7 linked regions of the Neurospora crassa OR74A genome follow. The protein of the gene in region 5 binds, or shares a complex with, the protein of the main gene of each other region. Links are inferred from orthologs where the notes say so. Each region holds a gene or a part of one and is shown on either strand. Other genes may lie near its edges.

What was found.
Region 1: NCU06542 (region 5) and NCU08296 share a complex: the UniProt entries of both Saccharomyces cerevisiae proteins name them as parts of the mitochondrial small ribosomal subunit. The link is inferred for Neurospora crassa OR74A from reciprocal best matches to the Saccharomyces cerevisiae genes MRPS12 and NAM9.
Region 2: NCU06542 (region 5) and NCU07386 share a complex: the UniProt entries of both Saccharomyces cerevisiae proteins name them as parts of the mitochondrial small ribosomal subunit. The link is inferred for Neurospora crassa OR74A from reciprocal best matches to the Saccharomyces cerevisiae genes MRPS12 and RSM26.
Region 3: NCU06542 (region 5) and NCU01761 share a complex: the UniProt entries of both Saccharomyces cerevisiae proteins name them as parts of the mitochondrial small ribosomal subunit. The link is inferred for Neurospora crassa OR74A from reciprocal best matches to the Saccharomyces cerevisiae genes MRPS12 and RSM27.
Region 4: NCU06542 (region 5) and NCU05717 share a complex: the UniProt entries of both Saccharomyces cerevisiae proteins name them as parts of the mitochondrial small ribosomal subunit. The link is inferred for Neurospora crassa OR74A from reciprocal best matches to the Saccharomyces cerevisiae genes MRPS12 and MRP17.
Region 6: NCU06542 (region 5) and NCU08728 share a complex: the UniProt entries of both Saccharomyces cerevisiae proteins name them as parts of the mitochondrial small ribosomal subunit. The link is inferred for Neurospora crassa OR74A from reciprocal best matches to the Saccharomyces cerevisiae genes MRPS12 and RSM19.
Region 7: NCU06542 (region 5) and NCU00564 share a complex: the UniProt entries of both Saccharomyces cerevisiae proteins name them as parts of the mitochondrial small ribosomal subunit. The link is inferred for Neurospora crassa OR74A from reciprocal best matches to the Saccharomyces cerevisiae genes MRPS12 and MRP2.

What each region holds. Positions count from the first base shown.
Region 1 is NC_026504.1:2,501,672-2,506,123, forward strand, and holds NCU08296 (mito ribosomal protein S4), read right to left. Parts: upstream 2,991-4,452; 5' UTR 2,802-2,990; coding exon 2,757-2,801; intron 2,569-2,756; coding exon 2,089-2,568; intron 1,987-2,088; coding exon 1,150-1,986; 3' UTR 606-1,149; downstream 1-605. Other genes in the region: NCU08295 (RNA-binding La domain-containing protein), read left to right, coding at 3,917-4,180, 4,245-4,452. UniProt on the Saccharomyces cerevisiae protein: Component of the mitochondrial ribosome (mitoribosome), a dedicated translation machinery responsible for the synthesis of mitochondrial genome-encoded proteins, including at least some of the essential transmembrane subunits of the mitochondrial respiratory chain.
Region 2 is NC_026501.1:6,129,317-6,133,521, forward strand, and holds NCU07386 (Fe superoxide dismutase), read right to left. Parts: upstream 2,757-4,205; 5' UTR 2,487-2,756; coding exon 2,225-2,486; intron 1,844-2,224; coding exon 1,173-1,843; 3' UTR 712-1,172; downstream 1-711. Other genes in the region: NCU07385 (hypothetical protein), read right to left, coding at 3,280-4,205. UniProt on the Saccharomyces cerevisiae protein: Component of the mitochondrial ribosome (mitoribosome), a dedicated translation machinery responsible for the synthesis of mitochondrial genome-encoded proteins, including at least some of the essential transmembrane subunits of the mitochondrial respiratory chain.
Region 3 is NC_026502.1:2,520,150-2,524,743, forward strand, and holds NCU01761 (hypothetical protein), read left to right. Parts: upstream 1-1,604; 5' UTR 1,605-1,808; coding exon 1,809-1,847; intron 1,848-1,904; coding exon 1,905-2,113; intron 2,114-2,177; coding exon 2,178-2,236; intron 2,237-2,298; coding exon 2,299-2,318; 3' UTR 2,319-2,857; intron 2,858-2,949; 3' UTR 2,950-3,723; downstream 3,724-4,594. Other genes in the region: NCU01762 (nucleolar RNAse III), read right to left, coding at 284-1,342; NCU01760 (pumilio-family RNA binding repeat protein), read left to right, coding at 4,145-4,273. UniProt on the Saccharomyces cerevisiae protein: Component of the mitochondrial ribosome (mitoribosome), a dedicated translation machinery responsible for the synthesis of mitochondrial genome-encoded proteins, including at least some of the essential transmembrane subunits of the mitochondrial respiratory chain.
Region 4 is NC_026503.1:614,279-618,308, reverse strand, and holds NCU05717 (mitochondrial 37S ribosomal protein YmS16), read right to left. Parts: upstream 2,601-4,030; 5' UTR 2,339-2,600; coding exon 2,315-2,338; intron 2,179-2,314; coding exon 2,147-2,178; intron 1,885-2,146; coding exon 1,587-1,884; 3' UTR 888-1,586; downstream 1-887. Other genes in the region: NCU05716 (hypothetical protein), read right to left, coding at 3,282-3,970, 4,023-4,030. UniProt on the Saccharomyces cerevisiae protein: Component of the mitochondrial ribosome (mitoribosome), a dedicated translation machinery responsible for the synthesis of mitochondrial genome-encoded proteins, including at least some of the essential transmembrane subunits of the mitochondrial respiratory chain.
Region 5 is NC_026504.1:1,584,034-1,587,530, forward strand, and holds NCU06542 (putative mitochondrial 37S ribosomal protein MRPS12), read right to left. Parts: upstream 1,964-3,497; 5' UTR 1,821-1,963; coding exon 1,665-1,820; intron 1,510-1,664; coding exon 1,216-1,509; intron 1,082-1,215; coding exon 1,007-1,081; 3' UTR 826-1,006; downstream 1-825. Other genes in the region: NCU06541 (alpha-1,2 mannosyltransferase KTR1), read left to right, coding at 1-231, 296-363; NCU06543 (acyl-CoA dehydrogenase), read left to right, coding at 3,155-3,246, 3,346-3,497. UniProt on the Saccharomyces cerevisiae protein: Component of the mitochondrial ribosome (mitoribosome), a dedicated translation machinery responsible for the synthesis of mitochondrial genome-encoded proteins, including at least some of the essential transmembrane subunits of the mitochondrial respiratory chain.
Region 6 is NC_026502.1:3,811,041-3,815,222, reverse strand, and holds NCU08728 (mitochondrial 37S ribosomal protein RSM19), read right to left. Parts: upstream 2,532-4,182; 5' UTR 2,153-2,531; coding exon 2,110-2,152; intron 2,010-2,109; coding exon 1,994-2,009; intron 1,693-1,993; coding exon 1,513-1,692; intron 1,051-1,512; coding exon 1,014-1,050; 3' UTR 762-1,013; downstream 1-761. Other genes in the region: NCU08729 (transcription initiation factor TFIID 23-30kDa subunit), read left to right, coding at 1-230; NCU08727 (hypothetical protein), read left to right, coding at 4,142-4,182. UniProt on the Saccharomyces cerevisiae protein: Component of the mitochondrial ribosome (mitoribosome), a dedicated translation machinery responsible for the synthesis of mitochondrial genome-encoded proteins, including at least some of the essential transmembrane subunits of the mitochondrial respiratory chain.
Region 7 is NC_026501.1:7,986,415-7,989,932, reverse strand, and holds NCU00564 (mitochondrial 37S ribosomal protein MRP2), read left to right. Parts: upstream 1-1,742; 5' UTR 1,743-1,947; coding exon 1,948-2,054; intron 2,055-2,135; coding exon 2,136-2,307; intron 2,308-2,425; coding exon 2,426-2,488; 3' UTR 2,489-2,844; downstream 2,845-3,518. Other genes in the region: NCU00563 (hypothetical protein), read right to left, coding at 1-117, 188-303, 369-436; NCU00565 (lipoic acid synthetase), read right to left, coding at 2,995-3,290, 3,352-3,518. UniProt on the Saccharomyces cerevisiae protein: Component of the mitochondrial ribosome (mitoribosome), a dedicated translation machinery responsible for the synthesis of mitochondrial genome-encoded proteins, including at least some of the essential transmembrane subunits of the mitochondrial respiratory chain.

The sequences.
Region 1 (4,452 bases), about 920 kb from region 5:
CCGGCTGCCACCATGACTGACAAGTCGGTTAGGATGCTGTGGCTGGCGGGAGCGAGGAGCAATTCACAACCGAGAAGCTCATAGAGGGATCAGAAGGAGTCGGGTTTGAATTGTGCTCGCGACGTTGCACCATATGCAAGTTGCAAAGGGGGCGTAAGGGAACAGGCGGGAAATCTCACTTGGACGAAAAGCAACGAACGACCAGATATCCCAACAACACATGTATTTTATTAACTGCTTTCATCGGCGATCAGATGTTTTTATTTCACGGGGAATTCTTGTAGGAGGTTTTTCTTTTCACGGTTTACGGTCGGTCATACCCAACCCAACATTTCCGGCCGATTCTCTCAACTGGTGCTTCGCTCTCCAGCCACGGAGGGTTCTTGCTTACCACATAAAACATACACACACTCAACGTACACTTAGCCTCTCCTAGATAGTTATTTCTTAGCCTTTTTCTCTCTCGCGCTCTCAAGGCGAATTTTGCCGTCTTCCTCAGTGATAAGTGTTTACCTTTGCACTGCTCCTCTCGATCGACAATGCTATGATTGGCAATTTTACTATATAAGCACTGAGCTTTCAGAGAGGAGACCGTAGGTGTCTCGGTGGTTCTCATCTGTCTCATGACTTTCTTACGCAAAGAAGAAGGAAATTTGTCTATGCCCCTCTTTATATCCATTTAGTTAATAGTGGTAATGATACATGTAGCGTACATCGATGCCGAAGGGGGCGAACTGAATGAGTCTGCAACAGATTGTTCGGGTATTGAGGAACGAACAAACTGTTACGCGCAATGTGCCCAAAATACGTATGAAGTCAACTCATCTCATGCATGATCCATCCCCGTCTCCTTTTTCTCCGGGAATCGCGAGATTTGCCGCCCACTTCGCAGCTTTCTCATCGAGACCGAACCCGATTTCCAACGCATGGTCCAACTGAAGCCGCAGCAGGTGCAGAGTATCACATCATCCGAGGTTGCCTTGAAGATGCAACAAGCACAATAGAGCGTACCCGCGACATGCAAAAAACTGGGTGCGCGCGACTCTAATCGTCCATTGGCGAATTCTACCGCTCTGAGACGGCAGAGAGTGACTGCCGTTCCTCCCTCCATCTCCCCTTTTCATTCCCTCGCTCCTAACTAGACCTCCTTTAACCTCTCCGTAAGTACCAGTTGAACGCGAGTTGGTTGATAGTGGGGGAGAAAGGCGACGGTACTTCGGACTCGCCCGGGCGCGCCACGGGGTGGCGGAGGTAGACGGCCGCGCAGATGTTCTGGTTGACCTCAAGGTAGCGGGGGATGAACGCGAAAGCGGACATGTAGTTGCGCGGCCTCCAGGGGGTCATGTACGGCTTGCTCGGGTCGATCTCGTTGTCCTCGTGCTCGTCGTTGTACTCGATCACCTTCTTGAGCACCTGGCGCGACTGCTTGTCAAGCTTCTTGCTCAGCTCCTTGGCCGCCTCCTCCTGCTGAATGGCCTTGGAAGGGGAGACCGCAAGGCGCTCGAGAAGCATCGTCAGGTCGTCCACCACGTTACCGGTTGGCGAAACGGACCCGTCGCGCCGCTGCGCTTGCTTGATGGCGGCCTTGATGTCGCGCTTCAAAGCGCGCAATGCTTGCTTGCGCGTCGCGGAGAGCTGGTGAGACGGCGAGTCGGCGATGTGCTTGGCGTACTGCAGCAGACGTTGGAGCTGCAGGAGTTCGTACTTGCGGTTCCAGGCCTCGTCGAACTTGGAGGTGTCGACTTGCTTCTCCTTCTTGCCGGACTTGGAGGCTGCTTCTTGTGCCTCTCCTTCCTCGGCCTCCTCGGCCTCCGCATCCTTCTCTTCGGCGGCTTCCTGTGCTTCCTCCGCAAGCTCCTTCTTGGCGGCCTTCATAGCCGCGGCGAGGAGCTTCTTGTCCTTGGGCGCACCGGTCGCATAGAGGACGCGCTCGACGTCGACTTGGAAGAGATCGCCAGGGTTCAGGAGGTAACCGGGGTGTTTCATCTGCAAAAGGATCGGGTAATGTTAGCGCCGAAACAAGCAGCTTTGGCATGGGTGCACTGTATTGTGGGATTCGGTATTGGAACGTTGTGATGGTGTACATGCCTTCTTGCCGTTGACGGTGACGGCACCGTGCACAACCATCTGGCGGGCCTGTCTCGCACTGCTGGCAAAGAGGGCTCTGAATATGGCGATATCGAGGCGTCTCTCGAGAGGCGCAAAGGTCATTTGCTCGTACGGCGTGGGAACCTTCCTGCCCGGGTTGGCGATGACTTGCTTGGCAGGTTTCTCGTCGGCGGTCTTCTCGTAGGCTGGGGGCTCTGAGAGGCCGGAACCGCGGCCGGCGGCTTGTTCGCTGCCGTTATATTTGGCCATGTATGCCGGGTCCATGTTGACGACGGCCGGTAGGCGACGGCTAAACATGCGCGCCCATTTGCGTTCCTTGATGTGCTCGCCGTGGTATGCTCGTGTCAAGGACTTGGCGAGCCATTTCTGCTGGAAGAATGTCTTGCCGCTGATTCTGGGTTCTCTCCCGGCCGTAGCCAGGTTGTACAGGTTATATTTGTTCCATGTCGGCCTGATGGGCTATTCGGAAGAAGAAGAAGCGCACACAAAATACGTCAGCATGATCGCGTGTGGTGGGTGTTGAGTGTCGTGGCAATGGGACTGGCAGGTAGTAGGTAATGGGGCGAATGGGGTGATGATGCGGCGGCGGCGACGATGACCAACGGCAAACCCGGCGACGGCGGCATAAAACACCGAATAGCACATACCTTTTTCTTCAAACTGTGGTACTTGAACAACCTCCGGATCTTCATGTTGGGTGTGGTGTGTTTGGAGGAGCTTCGGGGGATCGGATCGGACTGTAGGCCCCGTGCTTTTGGCGAAGTGGACGGACCGGTTCGGCGCAGGTTGTTTGGAGATTGTCGAGTCCGGAGCGGTCCGGGGCACCTAGCAGCACTGCCAACGAGGGGAGCTTCCCGGGGCCCTTCCACCTCTTATCGGGCGCCGTCCTCCGAAAATTATTTCAGACCCGAATTGGAGCACGCGCTCGCCCATTGGTCGCATTCACGTGAGAAGCTCGGGCCACTGTGCGCGTCAACTCCAGGCCGGATGGTGGAGAACTGGCAGGCACAGGATGCGGGAGCTAGAGCGCATGCGGTATAGCTCCGCAACCTCTTGGCGGATTGCGGGTGCAAGTGGAGTGGGGCTAGAAGCAGAGCCAGGCGGTAGAAATCGGCACAAAAAGTCTAAACCCAAAGGCGGTTCCCTTGGACCTGGGTGGGGCTGATTTGGTTGCTTGCTTGGTTTCGCCGCTTCCATTTTTTTGCGCTGAGGGGGAGGTTTTGACAAGTGCAGTCCTCGATATGACTCCAATGCCGACAGACCCTGGAAAAAGTCAGGGCAGATGGGTTACGCTGCTGTATGATGATGGAGGGAGGGAGCTCAGTAATGGATGGACAAGACTGAATCAAACTCTCGATCTTTGACAAGGGAATTGAAGTGTGTGTTACAGTTCAGAATTATCGAGGTCCTACCTGACTTACACTACGTGACTACCTCTACACTTCACACACGTCCTGGGATTTGCTGGTGAATGGCCGACTTTCCTGTCGCGTCGATCAACAATCAACCCTGCACCAACCCAACACCATTCCCCCACTGCACCCTGCAATAACATTTTGCGCCTACCGCCCCAAAACTGGAGTGCACCTGAAGGACCCACTAAATAATTTCGTCGTTTTGCCTGCTTGGTCCCCGGTCTCCAGTGCACTTTCTGCATTTTCATCATCCGTTCACCATTATCTCTCTCCCGGCCATCTACATCCATTCTTCTCTTCCGTGCACGCGCGTCACGTTAGACGGTCAATTGCCTTTACAGCCGCTTGTACTTTACCCTTTCAAATACCTACAGGCCACTCCGACCTTCATCATGAGCGATACCACCGCCAACACTGAGGCTGCGCCTGCCGTCGAGAATGTTCAGACCGAGGTCCAAACCGAGACTGTAGAGGCCCCCGTCGCGGAGGCTGCCCCCGCCGCCGAGGAGGCTCCCAAGACTGAGGATGCCAGCAAGGAGGAGGAGAAGAAGCCTGAGGCTACCAAGTCTATCGACCGCGCCGACTACAAGAACAACAGGAAATACGATCCTTCGACCCAGCCCGTCACTGACGATCCCGTCAAGATCCGCAACCAGGTACGATCAGACTACAAAAACAGTTGGCATGCTGCGTGTCCCCGTGTCTAACAAATAGTCTTAGGTCGAGTTCTACTTCAGCGACAGCAACCTCCCTACCGATAAGTTCATGTGGGAGACGACCGGAGGCGTGGAGAACAAGCCCGTTTCGCTCAAGACCATCTGCAGCTTCAAGCGCATGCAGATGTTCCAGCCCTACTCGGCCGTCGTCGCCGCGTTGAAGGAGAGCGCCTTCTTGGATGTGTCTGGCGAGGAGGGCCAGGAGACGGTCA
Region 2 (4,205 bases), on a different chromosome or scaffold from region 5:
TCAATATACATATATACCTCTATATATAAAAAATGAATCATCTCGACTGATCCTCCCTTGAGCTTTACCTCGTGCTCAACTTGGGTGGTTTCAAAACCGGGACATTACACATCGATTGAGTGACCGTGAGTGAGTAAAGCCAGTTCGAACCAAATCTTTGACCGGATCCAACGTACGGAGTCCCAATGCGAGACATGACATGGCATGGCATGGCATGGCAATCGAGACACCGATACACTCACTCTGCCGTCCTTCACCGGTGCTCGGTTTACGTACCTACTTTTAGTAGCTACCGCGCTGAAACGAACCAGTGAGGTCTCGGCCAGGCAAATCTGATAACCTAACAGTCAATAGTCAAGATTCAGTTTGTCACCGATCACTCGGCATGGAGCCTGAGGCCTTGCGAAGGAGGAGAAATCAGAGGCTGAAACTACAAAGGTAGAAGGGCTACAACTGGCAGCGGTCAGGTATGTTTTCAACAGCTGATGTGTCGTGGTAGTTACCTAGTGAGCTGATATCGTGAAGGAAGCAGACATCATGCGGAGTAAGGAGTAGTCGGACATGTAGGTCCGTATGAGGTCCTTAGGAGATGTACTAAAAAGTTTGGTCAAGTAAGCAGAGAAGGTTGGATGTCGATGTCACAATGTGCGTCCATCTTTCAAAGTGCTATATTTACAATTTGCATTTGACCTATCCGTTTGTTGCTTCGTTGCCGTTATCCTGCTTTCCTCTTTCACACACACACACACATTTGGTTCATTGGTAATATACACATGTAAAAGTATAGATGGCAGCTGCCGGGGCTGGCTTGGTTTTTACTTTCCTTTCTCTTTTTCCGGCCGGTCTCACCGTCATGCTATCCTATCGTACAGAACAACTTTTCCCTATATATCCGGGTTCCATATAGACAGACAAAGTCACAGAAGTAACTTGGGCAGCAACCGTACAATAATCCATCTCCATCCCGTTCCACTCGCTCTTTCTACCCCTCGGACAAGGTGACAGCCGTCGGACTGTCGATGGCGGCGGCAGGCATGGACTGATGGACCAGTAGTCGCGAGTAATTCAGAACCAAAAAGTCGAGGCTTAAGCTTTCACGCTCCCGCTTCACTTCCTACTTCAATTCCTCCTCACTCCTCCCTCCTCTTCCCCCGCAGAATGGAAGCAAGAGGCTAAACAGAGCTATCACCGCCCGTCAAGATCCTAGTCTCCAGCCTGGCCTCCTCCTCGACCTTGGCCCAATCAATCATGTTCCACCAGCTCTGCGCATACGCCAGCTTACCACCCATACCACCCACACCAGTTCCGTATTCGCGAAGCCACGCGTACTCCCACGTGTTGAGGCACAAGATCGGAATCAAATCAGTGCCGCCGGGAGCCGTAGGTTCAAGCTTGTTGCCCTTGAACCCAGCTGCGCTGCGCTCGAAGAAGCGCTGGCCGTTGCTCAAGCCCTGGGGGGAGCTCCCGATGGAAGTCTGGGCGTCCATCTCCTGGCGGCGCCAGTGGGCGCCCGGGTAAGGAGAACCAGCCAAGTAGGTGGCCATGACGCGGAGGGCGACGGGCTGACCGGGAAGCTGGGTGCGGACGAGCCAGACGAAACCGGGACCGAACATGGAGACGGCGGTGCCGATCATCTCGTCGCGGAGCGTGTCGACGGAGCCGAAGTTCTCGTTGATGTGGTAAAATAGCTTGTCGCCCATCTTGACGGGGACCGGGGACAGGTGGTCGAAGAAGAAGTGGTTGTTGTGCGCCATGGAGGCGTGGTTGAACACATGGGCGAGCTCGGGGTCGCGTGCGGTGGCGAGGACGATGGACTTGGTGTCTTTTTGCTCAAAGTCGGTGCCTGTTTGACGAAAGAGAAGTAAGCAAAGTGGTTTGTCGGTTAGATATCTCCCATGCAGCAAAATAGGTGACATCATGTCTTCCCCCCCGGATAGGCAGGGCATGCTCTGGCTTGAGCTTCAATCCGAGTCCCCTTCCTTCTATTTCCTCCACCAATTCCTTTGTGGCCTAACCACTGCGCTAATGCCTCCTCTTCCTCTCAGGCTTAACAGCATCCCAGCTTGGCGTTTTCGACCAAAGGATACCAATTCCTCGCAGCCAGTAATCCTCGCACGTAACCTTCATCCATGCCATGCCGTGCTATGCCGTGCCACATGATAACGCAGCGACACCAAATTCCCCAGACGAGTATGTTCTGTGTTGCTGTGTCATCCGTACGTACCTACTACAAGCGCGTTAAGCTTCTCCAAAATGAAGGTCTGGTACTCGGTATAGGCCATGTTGACGGAGCCGGGGCTGAGGAAGTTGCGGATGCCCTCTTGCTCGAAGTTGTCGCGAAGCGGCATGAGGTAGTGCTGCCATCTCCTTTGAGCGGCGATGCTGGCGCCGGCGACGGCGGACTGGTTGGTGGCGACAGCGTTGACGGCACGGCCGAGGAGCGAGCTTGTCGCACGGGGTATCCTTAGACCCATGGAGCCGATCATTTTGTCTGTTGGGGTTTTTTTTGGTCTCTTTCTCCGCAAGAAAACGGCCCGGGGGTCGGAGGAAAGGTTCGGTGGAAGGGAAGGTCGGCCGGTCGTTCGGTCGGGGGAGATGGACGGTGGACAGTGTGTGTGGGGGGCGGACCTTGAGGACGGACGGAGACAACTTCAAGACTGGACGGGCTGCCGGCGCAGAGCGGACGCACTTCAGAACACACGGGCACTCAACCCCGGAAGACGGTCGAAGTGGGACGCGACTTTCGAGACTTTTTTTGCTCCGCTGCGGAAGGACCCGGCCATTGGAGCAGGGACCAATCGTTGGGACGAACTGGCGGCCGGCAGCCTCACCGTCCTCGCAAAGAGCCAGGTTTGACCCTAACCCTGGATGTTATTGAGAGGTACCTACCGTCCTTGGTGGGGTAGCTGTTTGCCAATTCCGGAGTTCCGTACTTGGCGTTCACATTGACTTGCGTCTTCAACCGTTTCGATGATGTACTGGTGCACAGATACTGGGCATCTTTCTCTACTTTGCTCGTGTATGTGCTATGTTCATTATCGTACTTTGACCGATATTCTGTAACGCTATTGTAAAATAATTCCGTGGACGCCGTTGCTCGAAGTCCGAACAACTAACAATAATCACGAGGCGAACTGGACGCCCTCACCGGACTTCCCCCACCAGTACTACTTGACGCCAAAAACGACCCGATGATGCAGTATCCCGAACAGAATGAGGAATATAAACAGTGAACACCGACACCCCCTTTGAATCAATTTCCCTTCCTTCCCTGGTCATTCAAACGTCGTCCTCCACCATCGCAAGAACATCAAGCTCGTTCCTGACCATCCGCTCGAACTCTTCACGACTGATGCCAGCGCCGCGTGACAGCTGGAATAGACTTCGAATCGTCCTTGAGACGTGCTGCTTAACTCCAAACTCGACTCGATCTTGCGCTTCCGCCGTTTCTTCGAGCTTGGCCACCATGCGGGATCCGTTTGAGCTGGCGCTACTGGCTGGGCGCGGATGAGCAAGGCTTTCCATCCTCTCCTCGTCCGCCTGGGACATGCGCCGGCCACTTGAGTCAGAACCGGACTTATCAGAGGGTGATCGGGATGGAACGTAACCGCCGTTGCCGTCTCCGTTTAGGCCCAATGGCGGCGGCGCTGGTGCGGACTTGATGACAGGCGGCTCATATGCCTGTTGTCTTGGCGACGGAGACCTGCGAAGGGGGAGACCATTAAGCGGTGCACCACCCCCCACAGCTCCGCCCTGGAAGGCCTCCTCGTCTGGATCATGGGGGTCCATGGCTGGCTGTACGGATTCGTATTGGGCGAAGTACGCATCTTCGGCGGACGGACTACGCTCAAAGGGATGGGGTTTTTGAGTGTTGAGGCCGGCGCCCAAGGACGGCGGCGCAGGAGAGCGGCCTTGACCGGGAGTTTGGGAAGGCGTGGCATCGTATCGGCCCCAGTAATCATCGTCGTCATCCTCTTCAACCGGTTCAGCTTGGACGGATACTTGGGCAACTGGTTTGGTTTCTGGCACAGAGATTTGTTGGGCCTTGAACGCCTTCTCTGCTTCATCGAGTGTAGCATGACCCTGGAAGGATTCGAGGGGAGATGGATTGCTGGCTACACCGACCTCGCCCACACGCCATCCGTCGCCGCCACCGTCTTTGTCGTTGACGCAGTACACAAGACGAATGAACAGGTCGAACTCTC
Region 3 (4,594 bases), on a different chromosome or scaffold from region 5:
TATGAAAGGAGGTGCTGACCTGTGGATGAACAAGATGGTTCATCATCGACTTTGGCCACAGCTTGTTCGTTGTGGTTTCTCTTCGTATGTGCAAACGAAACGGTCCCTGGTCCTCCCTTGAACCCGGGTCGTTTACCCGTAGTAATGAATGGCCTAATTCATCTGCTATGCGTCCTTCTCATGGCCGACGCCCGAGGTAAACCACGAGACTACGGGCATGTGATGGTTGGTGTGTCGAAGTATTAAAGATCAGGGGCATATGAGACCGAACAGTACTTGGTCGCTACAGCACGCCGCCAGTGGTTTCCTGTGCCGAAGGCTGATCCTTCAAGGGGAACGTCACTCCTGCCTGCTGCAGCTGGGCTTCCCGCGCGGCCTTCATCTCCGCCTTCTTGTCCGCAAACTTCTTGAGCAGCTTCTTGTTATCCAAGGCCATTTGAGCTGCTTTCTGACCAGCTTCCTTCTTGCTCAAAGCACTTCCGTGCCCAAGTTGCAGGTTGGTCTCCCCCCAGCCTGTCATAAAACAGCCAATAGCGAAAAGAGGCAGCTTGGTTCCCCTGTCCTTCAGGTTTTTGGAAGGGAGATCTTTATACTCGATCTTGACACCCCTGGCTCCAATGGTAGCTTCGAGTACTGTCTTTGGGTCGAGTGTCTGGCCACTTGCGGATTGCTTTTGCTCCGGCTTCCTGGCCTTCTTCTCTTCCTCGCGGATGTACTCCGCCATGAGAGGGCCCCATAGGGCCTTGAGCCAGTCTGAAGCACGCTGAATCCCATTGGCAGGATCAGAAAGAATCACGCCTCCTACATAGGCTTCGAAAAGGTCTCCGAGAATCTTAATTCTGACTTTTTGACTTGCGTTTGTACCGCCCACTCTGCCCTCCATGTTGAATTCTTCCGGGATATCGGCCATCTTGTCCAAGCCGTAATAGACCGAGAATTCGCCTAGTGTGGTGTTGCGGATAAGCATCTCGCGACGTTGTGCGCTTTTGCCAGCCGGCAAGGTCGGGAAAGTTTGATATATGAAGGAGGAGGCGATGAGCTCAAGATAAGCGTCGCCAATCCACTCCAGCCTCTCATAACTTGCAACAGGGTCGTTGTTAGCTTTACCAGGGTGTGTGAGCGCCGCCTTTTTGAGTGCCGGGTCCAGAATGTCGGGGAGCGGTGGCCGCATTCTCTGGATGGTAGCGAGTGTCCATTTGGTATTGGCATGCAAAGAAGGAATTTGGACGGAGGTTGCGGACTCCAATGTAGCGCCTTGTGATGCGGATGGTGCAGAGTCTGACTTCGCACGCTTGGAGGGCGGTTCTGATACCTCCTCCGGGGTGGGTCCGTGTTTCGGCATGGCAAGATTGTACTTTCCTACAAGCAATCCGAATGCCTCAGATCGCGCGTTGATGCGGCGATGAAATTGTAGAGGCAGAATCGAAAACGGATTCTTCAAGATGAGAACGAATCCCGGGCCATTGCGTAGTGGAAACCCTAACCCCCTGTTCGACCCCAGATCCACATCAGGGCGCTGCTGCTGCCCTGTTATGGCCCGTAGCTGTCATTCTTAGCGCCTGTCAGCCCTGGAACGCGCCGCCCTCGGCTTCATCAGCGGGCTTGCGCTGACGGCCCGGGGACACTGCGGCTCGAAAACAACGGTTGCAGTCCGTGCCCCACTCTTTGTACCCATGAATGGTTATGATTGGTGGCGCATTGCTTGACGGGCTGGAGCGGGAGATCTCTGAACGACGTCGAACAATCCGGCGGCTCTTGTTGTTGCTGTTTCTAGAATTCGCGAATCCGCAATTCCATGTAACGGCAAGATGTCGGTCCCACGGGCGCGGTTACTGCAACTTGTGAAGGTATGGAACAGTTCCGAATGAGGGGAAAAACCAGTTCGCTAACTAGGTTATACCTAGGCTCGTTGCGAGCTCTTCTCGACGACTTTCAATCCCGAAGGCATCCGGACCGGTAACAAGATCCTGCGTCAGCGACTCAAGGGCCCGGCACTTGCGACCTACTACCCCCGCAAGAACGTCGGTATTCGCGAGCTTCAAAAGGAGTTCGGTACTCTTGGTCTCGAGGTTGACGATGAGGTCGATGATGATCGTTTGGAGCACTTGGCAGCGTTCGTCTCTCTCATTCCTGCTAGTGTTTACTTGCAAACATCACAATCTAACCATACCTTACAGTCTGAGAGCCCGCGACAAGGGAGCGCCCAAGAAGAAGAGAACGGCACCCTCGGCGGCCGGTGGGTTTCGTCTGCACCTCTTACTCACGGTTCAAATCTCTAACGTTCATATTCTGCGACAGATGCGAAGAAGAAGAAATAAGACACGGCGTCCCGAAATCAGAACTACACGACGTGTACATGTATCATATAGTGGGCGGACTAGAATCATATACCCCGAATACCTGGCGTTCCTCCGGCAGTTGGTCCATTTCGACATGCATTTTTCCGCTCAGTACTTGATGCCATCACAGTCTCCCCGTGACGAGGTGCTGCCACAACTGTACATATGGTTAGCGACGCCCGCGGCACTTGCCCCTTCAAATGGTGTTGAATAGCCGCCTAGTTCGACAAGCAGGTTTGTGGTTACCAGCTTTGTCAAAGGTTCATCTCGGGACTGTCCTCCCATGCGTCTACACAAGTCTCTTGATGCATCGAACAAAGAAGCGCCTGTTGATAAGCTGAAGATACCGTATCTTGATTCCATAGCGCGGATGGGCTTGAGGGAGGATATGACCCTTCGCCATTGTCCCTCTTTACGAACAGCTTTGATCATTTGGGTGAAAACAACAAGCGAGTGTCGGATCACCCAAGATCTTTGCACAAGCCGTCCATGTCAAAGAACGCCATGAATGTGAAAAGGTGCGCTGGCTCTTCCTGCTCCATTTCAAGCCTTTTCCAAAATAAAAATGGATAGGAAAGGAAGCTAATCACACCTACCATAATTTGCAAAGACCTTGGCATCCCAGCCCTACCGGACGAGAAAAGCCGACCCGCCACTCCTATCTGTTAATGTCCACGATGCTAGGTGATGGTGCTGTCTTGTTGAAGCTTCCAGACGTTGCATGCTTCCCTACCTACTCTACTCATTTTCATTCCGACGAAGAATGGTAGATCACACCGAATGGCAGGTGACATGAACACCTAGGTATGAATACCGCCTAATGAACTCGGAATATGTCATTGGGGCTCGGACGCCTAACCCAGAAACCCGTTGATCGTATGGGAAGTGGCAGCCGGACAGCAAGGTCCTTAACGCGGCAGGATGTCTCATCGCTGGCTCGGTTGACCATCATGCCCGACGTCCCCGCGACACGTGAAAAACTTCGGCTTGGTGATAAGGATCCCGCTAGGCACAAGGACGGGAGGCACGACGCCAAAGGCCGATGATCGTTAGCTGGAATACCGGTCGCAACTTCCCCAGCGACTCATCATATTCGATTCCGATCTTCGGATGGACGAGCCGATGTGCGTTCACTCGTCAGATCATCTGATGGCAGCCCAAGTGAGCTTTGATCACAGAGATTGCGGATTATCTCACAGGCATCGTGAACCCCTTTTTGCTTGGAGTGTCCGGGCAGTGACACCTGGGCAGTCCCGGTCACAGTTCCATCGTGCCTTCCTCCCTCGGGAGCCAAGGGTCCACCATTTCGACTTTAGTCTCGGTCATCCCGGGCTCATACCTACCCTAGAGGTACCTACCTACCTCTAGCCCTATTCTGACCGGTGCGTCCATCGTCACCAAGAGGTTTGTTGCTGTTGCCTTGCGAGAAGGTCCAACTTCAGGGCAACTGTAGCTGAAAGTACGGGTATCTCGGGCACATTTACACTCTTTCTTCCGTCCCAGACCAGCTCTTGGAGCTCTTTCTCTTTTCCCCATTATATCAACACATATTTCTAAGGCTTCTTCTCTTTCTGCATCTTCTTGTCGGTGCCATCACCAACCGTGTTCTCTCAAAAGCGGTTTGTGGTCATCTCGCCCCCAAGCTTCTATTTATCTGTGTCTTTCGTCGCCATTGGAACCAAATCTACTGCTTTTCTCTATCACCATCTTGAGCATCTCCTCCCATTGTGAAACACCAGCACCCAAAGCATCCCTCCAATCCCCTCAGGCTAGGTCATTCAACATCCAGCCCTCAGCAGACGACCATGTCTGCCGTCGCAGCATCCACCGGCTCGCCCAACGAGCGCCGTGCTTCGGCTTCCAGGAGTTTCTCGCAGTCTCAGGACGAGAACACGAAGCTTCCCGATGAGTTGATGTCTCCCAACTTGCAGCAGGTATGTATTCTAGTTGTATGTTACGTATTCAGTTGCATGTTTCAGGTTCTTTTTTTGGGTCTTGGGAAATTGCTGCCCTCACCTCCCGCCGGGTCGTCAGAACCTTGCCAGCCCTCAGACGGCGACGAACTGCAACACACTCGGGACGAAAATCATTACAGCGGACTGGCAGCTGTCGGGACTAAACCTCTCGACACGCGACCGCCAGATACTCACCAGCCCCGCTCACTCCCACAGCAACATAGATTCAGCCACTGCTTGCTCACAACCTTATTCTTTTCTTCAACCGAACCATCGGACCTGTATTTTGTCCCAGTCACT
Region 4 (4,030 bases), on a different chromosome or scaffold from region 5:
GGGAAAAAGAACTACCCATGGTTGCTTGCCCATGAGCGCGAGGAACACGGTGGGTGGTGGCGATTGGTGAGAAATTGTCAGTTGGGAAGTTGTGAAGCGCGTCAAAAAGGTTCCACGGAGGGATATGCTTTTCTTGTTTTTTCTCATTCTTCTGCTCCAGATGTTTTGCTTCACGGCACTCTTGGTTTGCGTGGCCTCGATCCATAGATCGGCCGATCGTGGTTTTACTGCATTTCCTGACTTTCCTGGTTTTCTTCTGCAGGCGGTTGTGCTGGTTGGTATGGAGTTTGGGAGTTTATGTTTTTCTTATTGTTCGTTTTTTTGTGTTTCCTTTTTTTTCTTCCTTGCATTCACTACCGGGTCTTTTGTGTCTAAACGCCGGGATAAAGTGGTAGGATACAAACGCAGCGTCAAGGGGGTTGGTGATGGTGGTGGTGGTGGTGGTGGTCAGTTTACTGCTTGCTTGTTCCGGGCGTTGCTGGTATGGTGGGTGGAAAGACTGGATTTGAAAAATTTTCGTTTTGAAGAGAGAGAGAGAGAGAGAGAGAGAGAGAGGGAAGACTGGAGTGATTCATTATTTAGGTAGCCGAGTGAAAGTAGTGGAAGGTAATTGATAGAGATGGTTTACATTAAATCTCACTTTAGTGAGCCCCGGTTCTGGATGTGTGTTGACTTGGTGATATGAACATGCCTCTGTTGCCGTGTGTTGCCGTGTGTTGGCGAGACTGATATCATAGTGTTTAACTGGGAACTCGAGAGGATCGATCAACTACATTTGATAAGGGGAGGTAGTGTAGCATACAAGTGTGGTAACTGAAACGAGGATGAAGTTTGAGCGAAGAGCCCTCACGTCAAGTTTTCAAAGATCACCCGTAACTTTAATATGATCGTGTCTGACGTTTCTTAATCCCAAGCCATCCTTGTTGAGCCGGGACCGATGAACTACCTTGCTTTAAGGAATCTGAATATGGCGTCGTATTCTTTAGCGGATCACATTCCACATGCGTTATCGTACATGAACAAAGACGGGTCCGGGAGTTTGTTCTCTAGCTGGCTTGACTGATATGATACTCTGACCGTTTCGAGTGCACCCTAATTCACGCCAGAACTTCTTGATCGACGACGGTGATCCATTAACGGGGTCGAAAAGGAGTCAGGTTCCTCCTTCCTTCAACCTGAGTGGGTATGGATGGTTCCGCAACCCATTCGCAATGAAGATTTCGGATACGTATGCTGCCTGTCTGTATGTATGTATCCCATGTTGCTATCCAGGTGTCGTGCGTTCACGATGTACCATTGCTCATCGAAGGCCCAGATCGTTATTGGTGGGTGTTTCGGTCGTTTTTATTGTTGCTGTCGACGGAGGTAAGAAGGTATAAAGATGCCTGCCATCCATCCGTCCATATATGTTGTCCGGTCTGCTTCATCACGGCCCTTTTGGTATACACAAGCCGGTAAGGAGATGGGATGGATATATGTCGATTCGATTCGACTCGATTCATTATTTCCCATCCATCTGTCCATCCATCGTACACATTCCCCCCCCACCCGCCCCCTCTTTTGCTCTCCGTCCAGAAGATACAGATTTACGCCTCCTCTAAACTCCTCCAAGGAATCGCCCCAAACCTCGACAGCGTCTCCAGCTTGCCATCGCCCAACTTCACGTTCGCCGTGCGGATCACGCGCGGGTCGGCCTTCATGGTGCGTCGGACTTCTTCGTGCGTCGCGATGCTGGCGTCGTACCGCATGACAAAGTAGTGGCCCCGGTTATGGCGCTGCTGGTTGGTGGAGATGGGACGGGGCAGCAGGAACGTGCCCCAGTTCTTGATGTCGCGGATGACGCCGCCTTGGTTGAGGATGAGTTTGCCGGCTGTTAGGACGAGTCTGTTTTTTTTTTATTGGTTCTTGTTTAGTACGACGAGGTGTGGAAGGTTGGTAGAGGATGGGATGGTTGGGTTGGGTTCGGAGTCGGAGTCGGGGTGATAGGTAGGTAGGGTCGTGGATGATGTGGTAGAAGAGAAGACAAGAGAAAGATCGGTCGGTTCGGGTCGGGTCGGGTTCGTAAGGGAAAGGAAAGACGGAGGGAGTTTTCTTCAAGTCGGACGGACTATCGAGTGGAAACAAAGAGAAGGGGAAAAAAACATACTCCTTCACCTCGGCGATGTTGCCCGGGCGGACCTGTTCACAAGTGCAATCATTAGCAAGACTGTCTCTTTCCATCTCTCTCCTCTCCCATTCCCTTTCCATTTCCTTTCCTTTTCTGTACCCCCAATCTCTTAACCTGCTCCTGTAGTTCAACCCTAGGGTAACTCACAATACCAATAGTCTCATACAACATCCTGTCTGGTAGTTTGGGCTGGGCGGCGGGCAATCGGTTCGGGGAAAGAAACGAACGCAAAAAGAAGTTTAGTTTCGCGATGCGATGCGATGCGATTGCGACCGGCCGAAAGCGCGTATAGTACTACCTAGTGAACCTTGGACGTCGATAAGAAGTTCGGAGCCCCACAGTAGGTACCGCTGTGGCTGCTGTTGTGACCGGGCTCAGCAAGTACTGTAGGGTGTGGTGGGTGTTGCCGTCAGCAGTGCCGCATTGCCGCAGTGCCGCAGCGGGTTGGTTGCGAGTGGGCGTCCGGGTGCCGCCGCTTGCTTGGAAATTTTTGTGGGGTCCAGGAAGAAGGTCGAGATTCTGCCGCGTTGACCGCCTTCCGGATAGGGGTGTACACACTTCATCAAGGGTGGGTGGGAGAGAGGTTGTTTACTCGACTCTTCAGCTGTCACCTCGGTGATTGTAGAGACATCTGTTGGGTGTAATGGTCCTCCAGAAAAGCTGTTTTAAAAGTTCCTAAAGGGTTATAATGTGGTCTAGAAGCAATGAGAAATCAGACTTGTTCTAAAAACATTCCCAACCGCTTCATACACCTTTGAATGGCCTTCATGTTGTAAATGCATGCTCTTATCGGTATTGTGTATCTGGAAATGCGCTGTGTAAATGTATTCTTTGCTCTTTGCGAACCAACCTCTGATCTTTCGATGCGCCGCTTGACCACCATGGCAGCAACCTCAACAAGATGATAACCGCCATGAGAGCCCCGAAAGCCCTCCCAGCATCAACTGGCAACAGCATGACCATCAGTGCTTCTCTTCTTTGCCCCTCTTATCCTCCCTGCGCCAAGGCGAAAGAGTCCTCACCAACATCCTCATATGCTCCCCCCCGTATAACCACATCCACCCACTTGACTTCATCCTTTACACTCCTTCCCCGGATGCTCATGACCAACTTTCTAATAATCCTCAACATCCATCCCCTCCCCTCCTGCTGCCCCCGGTGCAGGCGCCTTGGCAATCCCCTGCTCCCTGCACCAAAGCACAAAATCGTCAATCACGCCCGGCCACGCCTGGTCTTCGTTCCAGAACCCGAGCGTCTCATCCACCATCGTCTTCTCCGCAAACGCCAGCGTCTGGTTCCACATATCCTTGTTGACGCTCCTCGTCCACTTCTCCGCCAAAAACCGCTTCCACGCACCCAGCCAATCCACGTTCTTGCTCTTCCACGGCCTCGGTCCTAGTCCTGTATCTGAAGACTCGGTGCCCAAAAACAAATCCCAGAATACCAAGGCAACGTCCTTCTCCAGTGCCTTTTGGGCAGGTTCCTTACCCAGGCCAAAAGCGAACTGGTAGACTTTTTTGAAGTAGGCCGGATTTTGAGGCAGGTTTTGGATGCACATCCGGACGTAGTTTCTGTGGTGGGCCGGGTCTGCGGGAATGCGGTGGTCGAGGTAGATGGAGGACCACCCCTCGACGAAACCCTGGCGAGTGATTTGGCCGATGGAGTCGGCGCGGACGATCTCAAGGACCACAAAAGCTTCAACGTTTTCGATATTGGCGCCCATGGAGGAGATGTAGGCTTGGGCGGCTTCGGCGCCGATGGCCTCGACGGGTTTTCCGGCTCCTGCTGCTGCTCGGTCCTCGTCTGTATCGATGTTAGTTCGAGGGGAATGAGAGGCAGGGGCAAAGAGACATACCGCCGACC
Region 5 (3,497 bases):
ACTTCGAGTCTCTGGATCAGGATGGTGGTTTCTTCTATGAGCGCTGGGGCGATGCCCCGGTCCACTCTATTGCCGCCGGCTTGATGTTGAAGAAGGAGGAAATCCACTTCTTCAACGACATTGCCTACTACCACGTTCCCTTCACTCACTGCCCCACCGGAGAGCAGTTCCGTCTCGACCGCAAGTGCCACTGCAACCCCAAGGAGAACTTTGACTGGAAGGGGTATTCTTGTAAGTCTTACCCGGAAGTTCCCTTCTCTTACTGAGCCGTCCACTGACCCCAATCACTTATCAGGCACTTCGAGGTACTACGAGCTTAATGGTCTTCCGAAGCCAGAAGGCTGGCAAGATCAGTCGGATTAGAAGGAGGCGAAGAAGAAACAGTTCTGAGGGTGTGGGGATTAAGGCTTTATGTTGGGAAAACAGGTCTGCAAATAAAACCAAAAGCGGACATTCCCTAGAATGTATTATCGTTATAATGACTTTTTCGTTCTCAATTGGTGGTACAACCCAATTGCCTGGAAACATGGACCTATAAATGGGAAAGGTTGGGCAAAAACGAAGCTGCCTGTTCTGAGTGTTTTGATGGATAGGGAAGGGCTATAAGGGGCGTTAAGGAAATCATGACACAATCACTTAGGGTTAGGTTCGTTGTTACCGACTGCTGAGATAACCCTGGTATTGCCAGGTGTGAAAAGGCAAGCTGACAGCAACACAGTTGGTCCAGTGTCTCCGTCCTTCCCCGAAGTATTTCGTCTTCGGTGTTGTATCATCTTGAACATGGCCAGTCTTCGACAGTCGTAATACAAGGAATATGGACGCCGATATCCTGTCATGCACCTTTTATTTCCTTATAGTACACGGACACATAGTTTAGGATGCGGAATGATGAACTACATGGATGAAGCTTAACCACCTCCACCACGCTCACATCACATCATCATCATCCTACTGCCATGTAACCAGGGGGGGTATCATCTCAATTGTGCTCTGTTGTGCTAGCTGCTTAACCAACAGAGGCCTTCTTGGGCTTCTTGGTACCGTACTTGCTACGACTAGACATACGAGTAGCAACACCGGCCTGTTTTATCACCATTCTTTGTCAGCACATCATTTTCACAAACTAAACACTCATCTTCCCCTTTTTCTCCTTCTCTCCCATCCTCCATCCAGGGGTCTCCATCTAGGGATTTTTCTTCTCAGGAAAAAACTTACCAAATCCAAAGCACCTCTAACAAGATGATACCTCACACCAGGGCAATCCTGGGCTCTGCCGCCACGCACGAGCACGACGCTGTGCTGCGAAATGTTGTGGCCCTCGCCGGGGATATAGGCCGTGATGACCTTACCCGTGGAAAGACGGACACGGGCAGTCTTGCGTTCGCCCGAATTGGGCTTCTTGGGACGCGTGATGCCGACTTTGACACATACACCCTTGAGCGCGGGAGACTTGATGGAGGACAGGGCGGGGGAGACGGCGTGGCGAGCACGTTGGGGCTTACGGCAACCCTGGAGGAATGAAGATAAGAGTGGTTAGCTTTTGATCAGATTGAATTGGACGCGGGACATAGGGCTGTGGTAGTAGCACGGGAACCAAAGTGGTGATAGGTGCATAGGTAGGTAGAGGTAGGCGGGTTGGGGATAGCCTCATCATCATCACTTACCCTCATGACCTGGTTAAGAGTGGCATTCTGCGCCGGAGTGCTGGAGAACAACCGCGCAGCAGCAGGAAGGATGGAAGAGGACGATGGCATCAGCGGCCGTCGTAGCAGCGACGGCTGCGCCTGCGAAAACAAGTTCCGCAAGAAAGTCGTCGCCATCTTGTGATCTTGTGGATCTTGCTGATGGCGGGATGCTCCGAAATCGTCAAGTTCGGTCGGTCGCGGCGCGCAACAGGACGCGGTACAGTACAGGATAGCGGTTCCCCAGGCCGGGCCCGGCAGGCGCACGCAGGGCCGGCGGCGGCGGGCGGTACCAGTGTGGGAACTTTTTTCGTGTCACGGGATGACACACGTGGAGATAAGCTGAGCCAAGAAGGTAGCAGAGGTACGTACCTACTGCCGTGCTTGAGGGACGGAAGCCATTGGGTAAGCTCCGAGTCGTGTGCGGCAATCATCGGTTAGCTGTGAGCCTTCGACAAACTGACAGTCACATGGCATTTGTTTTCCATTCCCCTTCGTTTTCTGAAACTCGTTCGTTGGCACCTCATCATTCCATTTCTATCGCTCGTCTGGCTCTGTTTTCCCTTCTCGCTCACGATCCATGGTTTGCTATTCGCGATTAACGAGTCACGATCCACGGTCTAGCAACAATGGTCACCGCTCGCCGTGCCCCGTGCCCGGCCATCATCAAGGTCCATTCGAGAGAGAGTGCCCCTCCTCCGATGTCCCGTCTCTACCGTGTCTCCCCCAAATGCATCCCTGTCGTGGCCACCGTTTACCCCGGCCAAGGAAATCTTTGTGGGGAAAATGACCTCTTAAGAGGACCGCCCGATTCGGAGCTTTGTGAATGGTGGAGACCTTACCTCGGCAGAGGGGGAGACACTTGACCCAGCTGTTCACAGCATATCGGCCGTGTGCCGGCCAATGCCATTGACCTTTGTTACCCGCTGGCTTGGCTTTTGAATTACTGAGAGAGAGAGGGATAGAGAGAGCTAACAGTAGAGCTCTTGTCCCGGTTGCCCGTAGGTATCCTGCTATCAAGGTGTACGCACCTATCTCCTCGAATACCGCGTGGGCTTCTGCGATAATGATCTGTTCTGTATATCAAATGCATAGTGACAGGTTAGACACATCGAAGGTGTAGGAGATGCATACGATGCAAAGGTCAAGAGAAATCGGGACTCTCTTCACCTTATTTTGAGCCCACGCTGTCATTGTTGCCTTCCATCCAATACTCCACGGATCATCGTTACGGAGCTACATAAGTACATCTTTCATCTGGTCGTTAGTGTTAGCTCCGCTGTACCGTGCCCAGCGACTTATAAGTACCCGAAGCTCGTTCCATCACACCTCCAGTTCTCCTTCCCCAAGCATTTGATACCCTTTCCGCCTTCTTTTCTTCCATTATCTCTGTCCTCTTCGTTCTTCCTAGACAGCACTCGCGCCAGGTTTCCGATCGGTTCTTTAATCATCACACATACGCATCAGACACAATGAAGTCGTTCACTAGGGTTTTGCGTCCCGCCGTCCGCAGGGCTCAGGCAGTTTCCGCTCCCAGACTCTCCAGAACTCCCGTCGTCCAATGGTAAGTTTTGTCATCTCGTCTCATGCCTGGTCTGGTCTCAAAAGAGATGGGCTGGAAGAGGGAGAAGGCGATGTGCTAATACTTGGTTTCCCGACATAGCGCTCGCACTCTTTCCACCACCTCCCCTCGCCGGGACATAACCGATCTGCCGCCAACCCCCATTACCCACTTCTCCGAGGTTGAGACCGCCATGGCTGAGACTGTCCAGAAGTTCGCCAACGATGTCATTCTTCCCAAGGTCCGCGATATGG
Region 6 (4,182 bases), on a different chromosome or scaffold from region 5:
TGGGCAGTCTGGGTGCCGCGGCGGGGTTCCCTATTCCTGGACAACCGACCAATCAGGCGGCGGGGGCGAAGGATCAGGGCAGAGGTGGACCGTTGGGTATCCAGAGGCCGGGGTACGGTGGTGGTGGACAGGGTGGCAGCCAGAATAGGACGGTGCTGACGATGGAGGATTTGGGCATGGCGGCAGGGGAGTTTGGGGTTAATGTGAAGAGGAGCGAGTTTTATCGCTAGGGGGGCAGTCACGGTCACGGTGCAGGACTGTCTGCTCTACTGATGAGAAGGGATGGGGAAACGGTGGGTGGTTTGCCTGAGTGTGAGCGGAATGGTGGCATGGCAGACCAAAGGATGATACTATCTTAAAGGGGCGGCAACAAGTGGTTACTTGCTCAAGGAGGAGGATATCAAGAGGATGATGCATCGATGGATGGATGGATGGGCAAAGGGTCGGCAATCAAGGGTCCAACACGGGAACGGTGCAAAAGGGGTTTGGGGTCATCGGGTCTTCTTTTCTTTTTCCTTTTTTTTTTTCCTTTTTTTTTTTTTTTTTTTTTTTTTTTTGCGCTTGGCGTTCAGGAGGCGCCGTTATGGAAGATTGCCATCGTCCTGTTTGCTCTCAGTGAACCCGTTATGACTACTAGTCTAGGCTAAAAATAATAATACCTGGCGATACTAGCATATTTTTATCAATTACAAAGCATAATTAAACTACACACTACACAACATATACATGTTCATCTTGAAACAACAGACACAGCACAGTAGTATGAATCCAAGCGAAAGTTCTAATTTGCCCCAAAATATGATATGTGTACAGAAACCTGTGCCCTCCTCTGACAATGGTATGGTATGATACAGATAAGCAACGAAAATATGCTTTTTTGTTTTTTGCCGAAATAAACGCCGCCCACAGAAAAAACGTGTCAAACCCGCATCCATCAATCAATCGACTTCTTCTTCTCTTTTCTTCTTCTTCTTCATCATCATCACTGAAGAGACGAACGAAGTTTGGTTTGTCTATTTCTTCTTACCCCAGATGAAGGGCTTGCGTGTACTGTTTGAGGTTTTGAACCATTCAGTTAGTGTCGGTCCAATTGTTCATGTCCATATGCCCAATGTGTGTCTTTTGTGTTGTTTGTTTTCTGCTGACCACACTGCACCACCGCCTACGATCATCATCATCCCGTGGTGGCGTCCAACACATGTCGCCCGTCCAGCCATTCATGGCTTGCCACCAGCCAATGCCATGGCCATGCCGTGTCAGACCATTGAATTTTGTGTAGGAAAATTCTTTTTTTTTTTTTTTCTTTTCCCACACCGCCAACATTTATGGCATTTCCGCCGCCATCTTAAAAAAAAAAAAAAAAGGAAAAAAAAAAGACCCTTTAAAAAAATAATATATTGAAATTGAAAAATAATAGTCAAAGAAGGAAAAGAAAGGAAAAAAGTAGACTAGTGAAAGTAGGGGAAGAAAGAACCAAAAAAAAAAAAAAAGAAAGAAAGAAAGAGCACTTACGCAGAAAACTCTCCAAGCTTATGCCCCACCATCTCCTCGGTGACAGTCAAGTCAATGTAGTCCTTGCCGTTGTGTACCTGGAACTTGAGGCCGACAAAGTTGGGCAGGATGGTGGCGGACCGGGCCTGGGTGCGGATGGGAGCGATCTTCTTGCCGGGCTCGGGGCGCTGGATGGGGAGACTGTTTTGTGTGTATGCGTTGGTGGTTAGTGCCCGTTTGCGCTCAAGATAGGTGACTATGCTTGTAGCGTTGCGGTTGGATTCGGTTGGACTGCGTTGGTTCGCGGATGGAGGGGAATGTCGCGGGATGGGCTCGTAGAGAATGATGGACATGCGCCGGCAGCTTTGATCGGGAGCAGGGAGGAGAGAGAGTCCTCGGGAGTGCGCCGGCGCATTGAATTGTCGTCGTCGTCGTCGTCGTCGTCGTCGTCGTCATTGAGATCGCGGGGACAGAAACGAGGGGAAGGGGTAGTAGAGCTTACGGGACAATGTGCGGACCTGGAGTCGGCGATGCGGGTTAGCTTGACTGTCTTGGACGGCGCAAAGAGTACATTATCGCAAGGTGAAGCTTAGGAGGAGACAAAACAAAATAACTTACCCTTCCACACGGATCTCTTGAAAAGAACCCTTGTTGGCTGCATGTTGGGCGCGAACGAGAAGGAATTCGGTGGTGATGGGTGGTGGCTGCAAATAGCGGGAAGAGGCCGGGCGCGTACGCGACACTCGGATGGTCTTGAGATCAATCGGTCGGTCGGTCGGTCGGTCGGTCGGTCGGTCAGTCAGTCGGCGAGTCCGGCAGGCGGGCGGGCGGAGCGGTTCCAGGTATCACGGCGACGGCGGCAGTGACGGGAGCGCTGACCACGGCCGAATTTTGGAACTGCCAAGCTTATCGGTTGCCGGCCGGCATACCTAGTACGGACGCCCCCGCTGACTCTCCCCCCTGGCTACCTATGTACGCAGTAGGTACTTCTACAGGGTTAGGGGGCATTCATCAAAGCGATTATCGATACAGCAAAAACCCCTGCACGGGTAACCCTGTCTATCGATATCTAAAAGCAACGCCCCCATAATTACACTACGATGATAACCCTCTAAACACCTCTTTTTGTCAAGGTAACCTACCGTCAATATACAGATGGATGTCAACCCTGCAGTGGAGAGGTACGGAAATCTTCAGTCAAACGGCACTTGCTTAGTGAGCAGAGAAAGCGGGGTCTACCTGATGGCAAAGATCAATTAGCATCCAATTTGTGTTATCGTGCATTTCTTGGGTGCGCAAGAAGAAGAAAATCTATGCACGATACTGCTGAATCTAATGCTATGGTGGTGTGACTCGTGCACCACACCCTACAGGTACCTACCCCTGTACTGGCAAGCCCCCCTGCTCGAGCAGCACTTGGGGCCGAAATCTTGGTGTTACTCGAACTAGGATACAGCAAGTATTATATGACTTACATACCGTTTAGCAAACCGGCGGCACTGGTTGGCACTCTCAGACACTTGCTGCCCGTGCTGCCGTCAATTGGTTCAGGACTAACGCGACTGCGATACTCCAAAACATAGCATCCCGGATTCCGGACTATTGGCATTCTTGGTGGTGGCCGATAACCGGCGTGCGTCCGTCGATTCCTGACTGCAGCTCAGTGGTTCACATCGATCGTGCACTCCGTCTTCTTCAGTGTTGCTCCTTCCTCAGCATTTCAAGTTCCATACACCTCGCCACCACTACAGTATGTATGATGTTTGTACATCAATGTAGGACGTAGTGTAGGTAGTTTAAGGCAGGCGTGAACTGCCGTGCTGTGCCTTGCCTTGCCTTGCCTGGGCATGGACTGGGCCGTCATGGATTCTTCGTCTAGGCAAGAGCGCCACCGCAGTCAATATATCTATCTGGCCGTGGTTTCCCGTTCGCGTTCACAACGACCTTCTTTTTGGATTTCACCATCCGTCACTCTTTTTTTTTTGTTTTGCGCATTTGTGGGTGTGCTTGCATCGTCGATGCCCTCAGACGAATGCCCCCCCTCCCTCTGGTCGGTCTGATCAACATTTGATCGGTTCACCAGTCTGCGCGCAAAGTCCGAGAAGGGCACCGCATTCGTTCTTCCCGCGAGCCACCTGAGAACAGGGCTGCATTTGTTTACTATCCAGCCAGCCATGGAGTTCCAACTTCCATCATCATCATCATCATCATCAAGCAGCTCGACTGCTGCGCAATTGTTTGCACTAGCTACCCATCAAGATCAACCGTTCCCGGAATAAACTAGTAGGGAGCACTTCCCGTCCCTGGGTGTCTGAGTGTGCCTTGATCAACTTGTCGGACTACCGCAAATGCGGACGAGTGCCTGAGTATCAGTGTTACCCGTCTCTTCACATGATCTAATGCTCTCCAGATCCCTCCTCTTTCGGGCTGAACGGTCACTATAACGGCATGGTGCTCCACGAGTAATTCTACCATCATAACGAGACGCCGACTGGCTCGTTAGCATTGCGTGTCGGAGTGTTCCACCGTTGAGCTTGCTCGCGCGCACGGAACTGAACCAGGCCGTCTCAGGCACCATCTCCACTGAACGGATTCAGCAGGTCGTCTTTCCCAAAATTGACTGGTCACGCTTCTGTCCTGCATCATATGCATGCGCGCCGCACCTGTCAACGCCAGTACCCCTGTCCGCTC
Region 7 (3,518 bases), on a different chromosome or scaffold from region 5:
CCTCGCTGAGACGGATCTTGGCGTGAGGTTCATCTTTGCTGGCAACCCCGAGCGGGAGGAGGACTTCCTTTAGACCCTCGGCTTCCAGCCGTGAGTCGATGATTTGGTTGACTGCCTCTGTTAGATTGCAACATTTGGGTCAGTATCAGCTCAAACTATTGTAAGAAATAGGGAGTTTGTTACATACGGTCGAATGCGAAGCGCTGGCAGTCGTTGTACCTCGTGTTCTTGGTCGAGAAATACTTGAAGTAGAAGTCGGGGTCATGCACGTAGCGAACTTCATCTTCCTCGTTGATGAAATAACTATACGCACAAGATATATCAGAGTGAGTGTCGTGGGAAGGATGACTAGGCAGATTATCACGAACCTGAGCTTCTTGAGATCTGGGGCGAACTTTGGTTCAGCCGGAAGGCCTGACCAACGGCGACGAAACATCTTGTATGTTGGAAAGTCGTCGAGTTTCCTGGGTGCGTTGTTGTGGAGGAGTCAAAAGACGGTTGCAAGCGAGAGGAAGGATAGCCTAGAACGCTGATCGCGTCGAGGAGTATTTAAACACTTCGTTGCTTGGAGGATCGCGAAGAAACTCGAAGGCCACGGAAGCGGTTGAAGATGGGACGGAAGGAGCCCAGCAGTTGTTCTTCCCTTCTCAGGCACAGAACGAGATAGGCGAAGTCGGAGTACGGAATGGGATGATACTAACGAGCGAACATGAGAAGGTAAACAGACAACGAACGAGACACTCGACTCCCTCTCCTCAGATGAATGGCCAAACCGCGATGACATTGCAACCGTCAAGGTGTTGACATACTGTAGGGTCTCTTGCCCATCTCATCCAGACCTTCCCCATCCCATCATAGAGATAACTTGCTTGACAAACAATTTTCATAGGAAACAGTCGCACACAAACCGAAAGCCGCTTCAACATGCAGGTGTTTCTTTTGGCAGGCTCAAGGTTGCTGCAAACGAGAGCAATCATCCGTAGACTGATAGAACGTATACTGCTAAACACCAGCGATCATCAAAGGCATTGGTAAAGGGTGCGTCGAACGTACGAAAGTGGTGGTGGATGTGGTTGTCACATGCGAACGGCAGGCATCAACCTTTGCAACCCGTGAACAACGTATTCGGTAAGGTACGGGTGAACTTAACACACTCGTTTCGCATACGACAACTACATCTTTGGTAGGTAGAATGATTCGAAAGGCACCACTCAGTCAACCCATCCAAAACAATCCTTCTTCCTCACACCCCCAGCCTGTAGCCAGAGATTGCAACGAAAAAGTGAAGATGAGCACAAAGCAAGTAGTAGTGTTGAGTTCGCGTCGCCTGGAGGCAGTGTAATACCAGGGACACAGTGGTCGGCAACCATAGGCAAGCCCAGAGGGATGCCGACCGAGTTGCAAAAATTAGAATAATCACGATTCTACTCCGTAGAGCAGTTTCAGAGATTAAACTGAAAAGAACAGATACTACACTTGATCTAAGCCAAAAGGCAAAGAGAGCTAAAGAAAAAAAGAAGAAAAAACCAGGTAAAAATTTGGGAGGGGGGGCCAGTCTTAAATAGGCCCAGATGTGGCCTGTGCACGAGCTGCAAGCTTGAGAGTTTGAGTGGAGCCCCGTAGAAAAAGTGCCGTCCAGCTGGTGTGCGACTGGCACACCTGGCAAAGTGTTTGTTGCTGCTTGGTTTGGCGCTTGCAACCTGCGATGAAAATGACACCGCCCGGCAGAATTTGTCGTTCCGCACGCGGCAGGGCTGGACGGCAAGCGCACAGGCCACTGGCCGCCGTGGGAGCCGGGGAGAGTGACTGCGGCTAGCGGGCGACGACGCCGGAGGGAAGCAACGACTGCAGTGCCTGTGACATCGATTTACGCGCCTCGATCCGCCGCTATCGACGCCCATCTCCGACTCAGCCCGCCAATCTGCCCCAGAACACCAAACCGCCAAAATGTCCATGTTTCGTGCCAAGAAGCTCGACCTCGGGTGCTTCACCAACGTCCGGGTCCTTCGTGACCACTCCAAGCGCAAGGCCTTTTTGGAGGCCGAGCCTGAGAGGTAACTACCTACGCCTTGCGATCCTTATTTGCGACTATAATAAGCACAAACGATCTGACGACTCCTTGCTTTATGATACAGACAAGCCCTGCGTTACGTTATTCGCAACACCACCCTCCCTGCCCGTACCAGGGCCGTCGCCCAGCTCCAGCTCACCCAGATGCATGCCTACACCAGGCCCACGCAGATCCGGAACCGCTGCATCCTTGGTGGAAAGAGTCGAGGTATCTTGAGGGACTTCAAGATGACAAGAGTATGTCGCTATCGATTGCTTCAAAGAAGGAGTGGTGTCCTAAGAGCTGAGCTCCGCATGGGAATGATGGAAACCTGCAAAGGCGCGCGACTTGCTAACACTGTTGGATCGCAAACAGTACAATTTCCGTATGAACGCCCTGATGGGTAACATTCCGGGTGTCAAGAAGGCCTCTTGGTAAAAGAGAGCATGGCTACAAGGAACCCAGAGGTTTGTTGTGGTTTGGAGATGGTGCCGGTACGCCCAGAGGCGAATAAACTCTGTTCAAAACCCAGATGGGCTCGGGCCATCGTGTTGGTAAGAAAGTATCACTGTACGCAGGGTTTTTGAGATACCCGTATAAGTAAGTGATCGCATGATGAGGAGTGCTTCAAAAGCTTTTCAGTGGGCAGAGGGAGTTTGTATGATGCATCCTTTTGGACATGGGAATCTCTCTCCCGATGCCCGCTGTGTAGAATTGTTGTTACAATATTATATTCAGACACGGCAAACGAATGAATGTCTTTTTCAAAGTAATCGAAAGAACCAATCTCCCCTAACGCCAAAACGCATGCAACCCCCAAGGTGCCTAATAACCGATCCGTCATCCGTCTGTTATTTTGCCCGCCACAGGATAGCTGTGAAAGCCTAGATCCCGATTATAAATGTTGAAACACGCTCCGCAAACCACATCTAGCATAAGCTGCCTCAAGAGGACTGGACGCTAGTCGCCTCCTCGGCGGCAACCGCCTGACCAAGAGCCTCAGAGACAACCTTCTCGCCAGAGCGCTTTCTCAAGACGTTCTCGATGAAAGCCTCGCCGGCCTTGTATGAAGAACGGACCAGAGGACCACTAGCGCAGTACAGGAAGCCCATGTCAAGCGCACGCTGCCTCCAGAGCTCAAACTCGTCGGGAGTGATGTACTTCTCGACCGCGAGATGTCTCTTGGTTGGGCGCATGTACTGTCCAAAGGTAACGACATCGACGTCGACCTTCCTCAATTCTACAAAGCAACATCATGGTCAGCATCCATCAAATGGGCAAGCGCAATTGGTATGACTTACCCCTCAAAGCCTCCCAGAGCTCCTCCTCAGTCTCACCCAGACCAAGCATGATGCTGGTCTTGGTGATAATGCCTTCCTTGCCCCGGACCTTCTTGACGTGTTCCAACACCTTCAAACTCTGGCGAAATGTGGCACGGCGATCACGCACGTAAGGCGTCAAGTTCTCA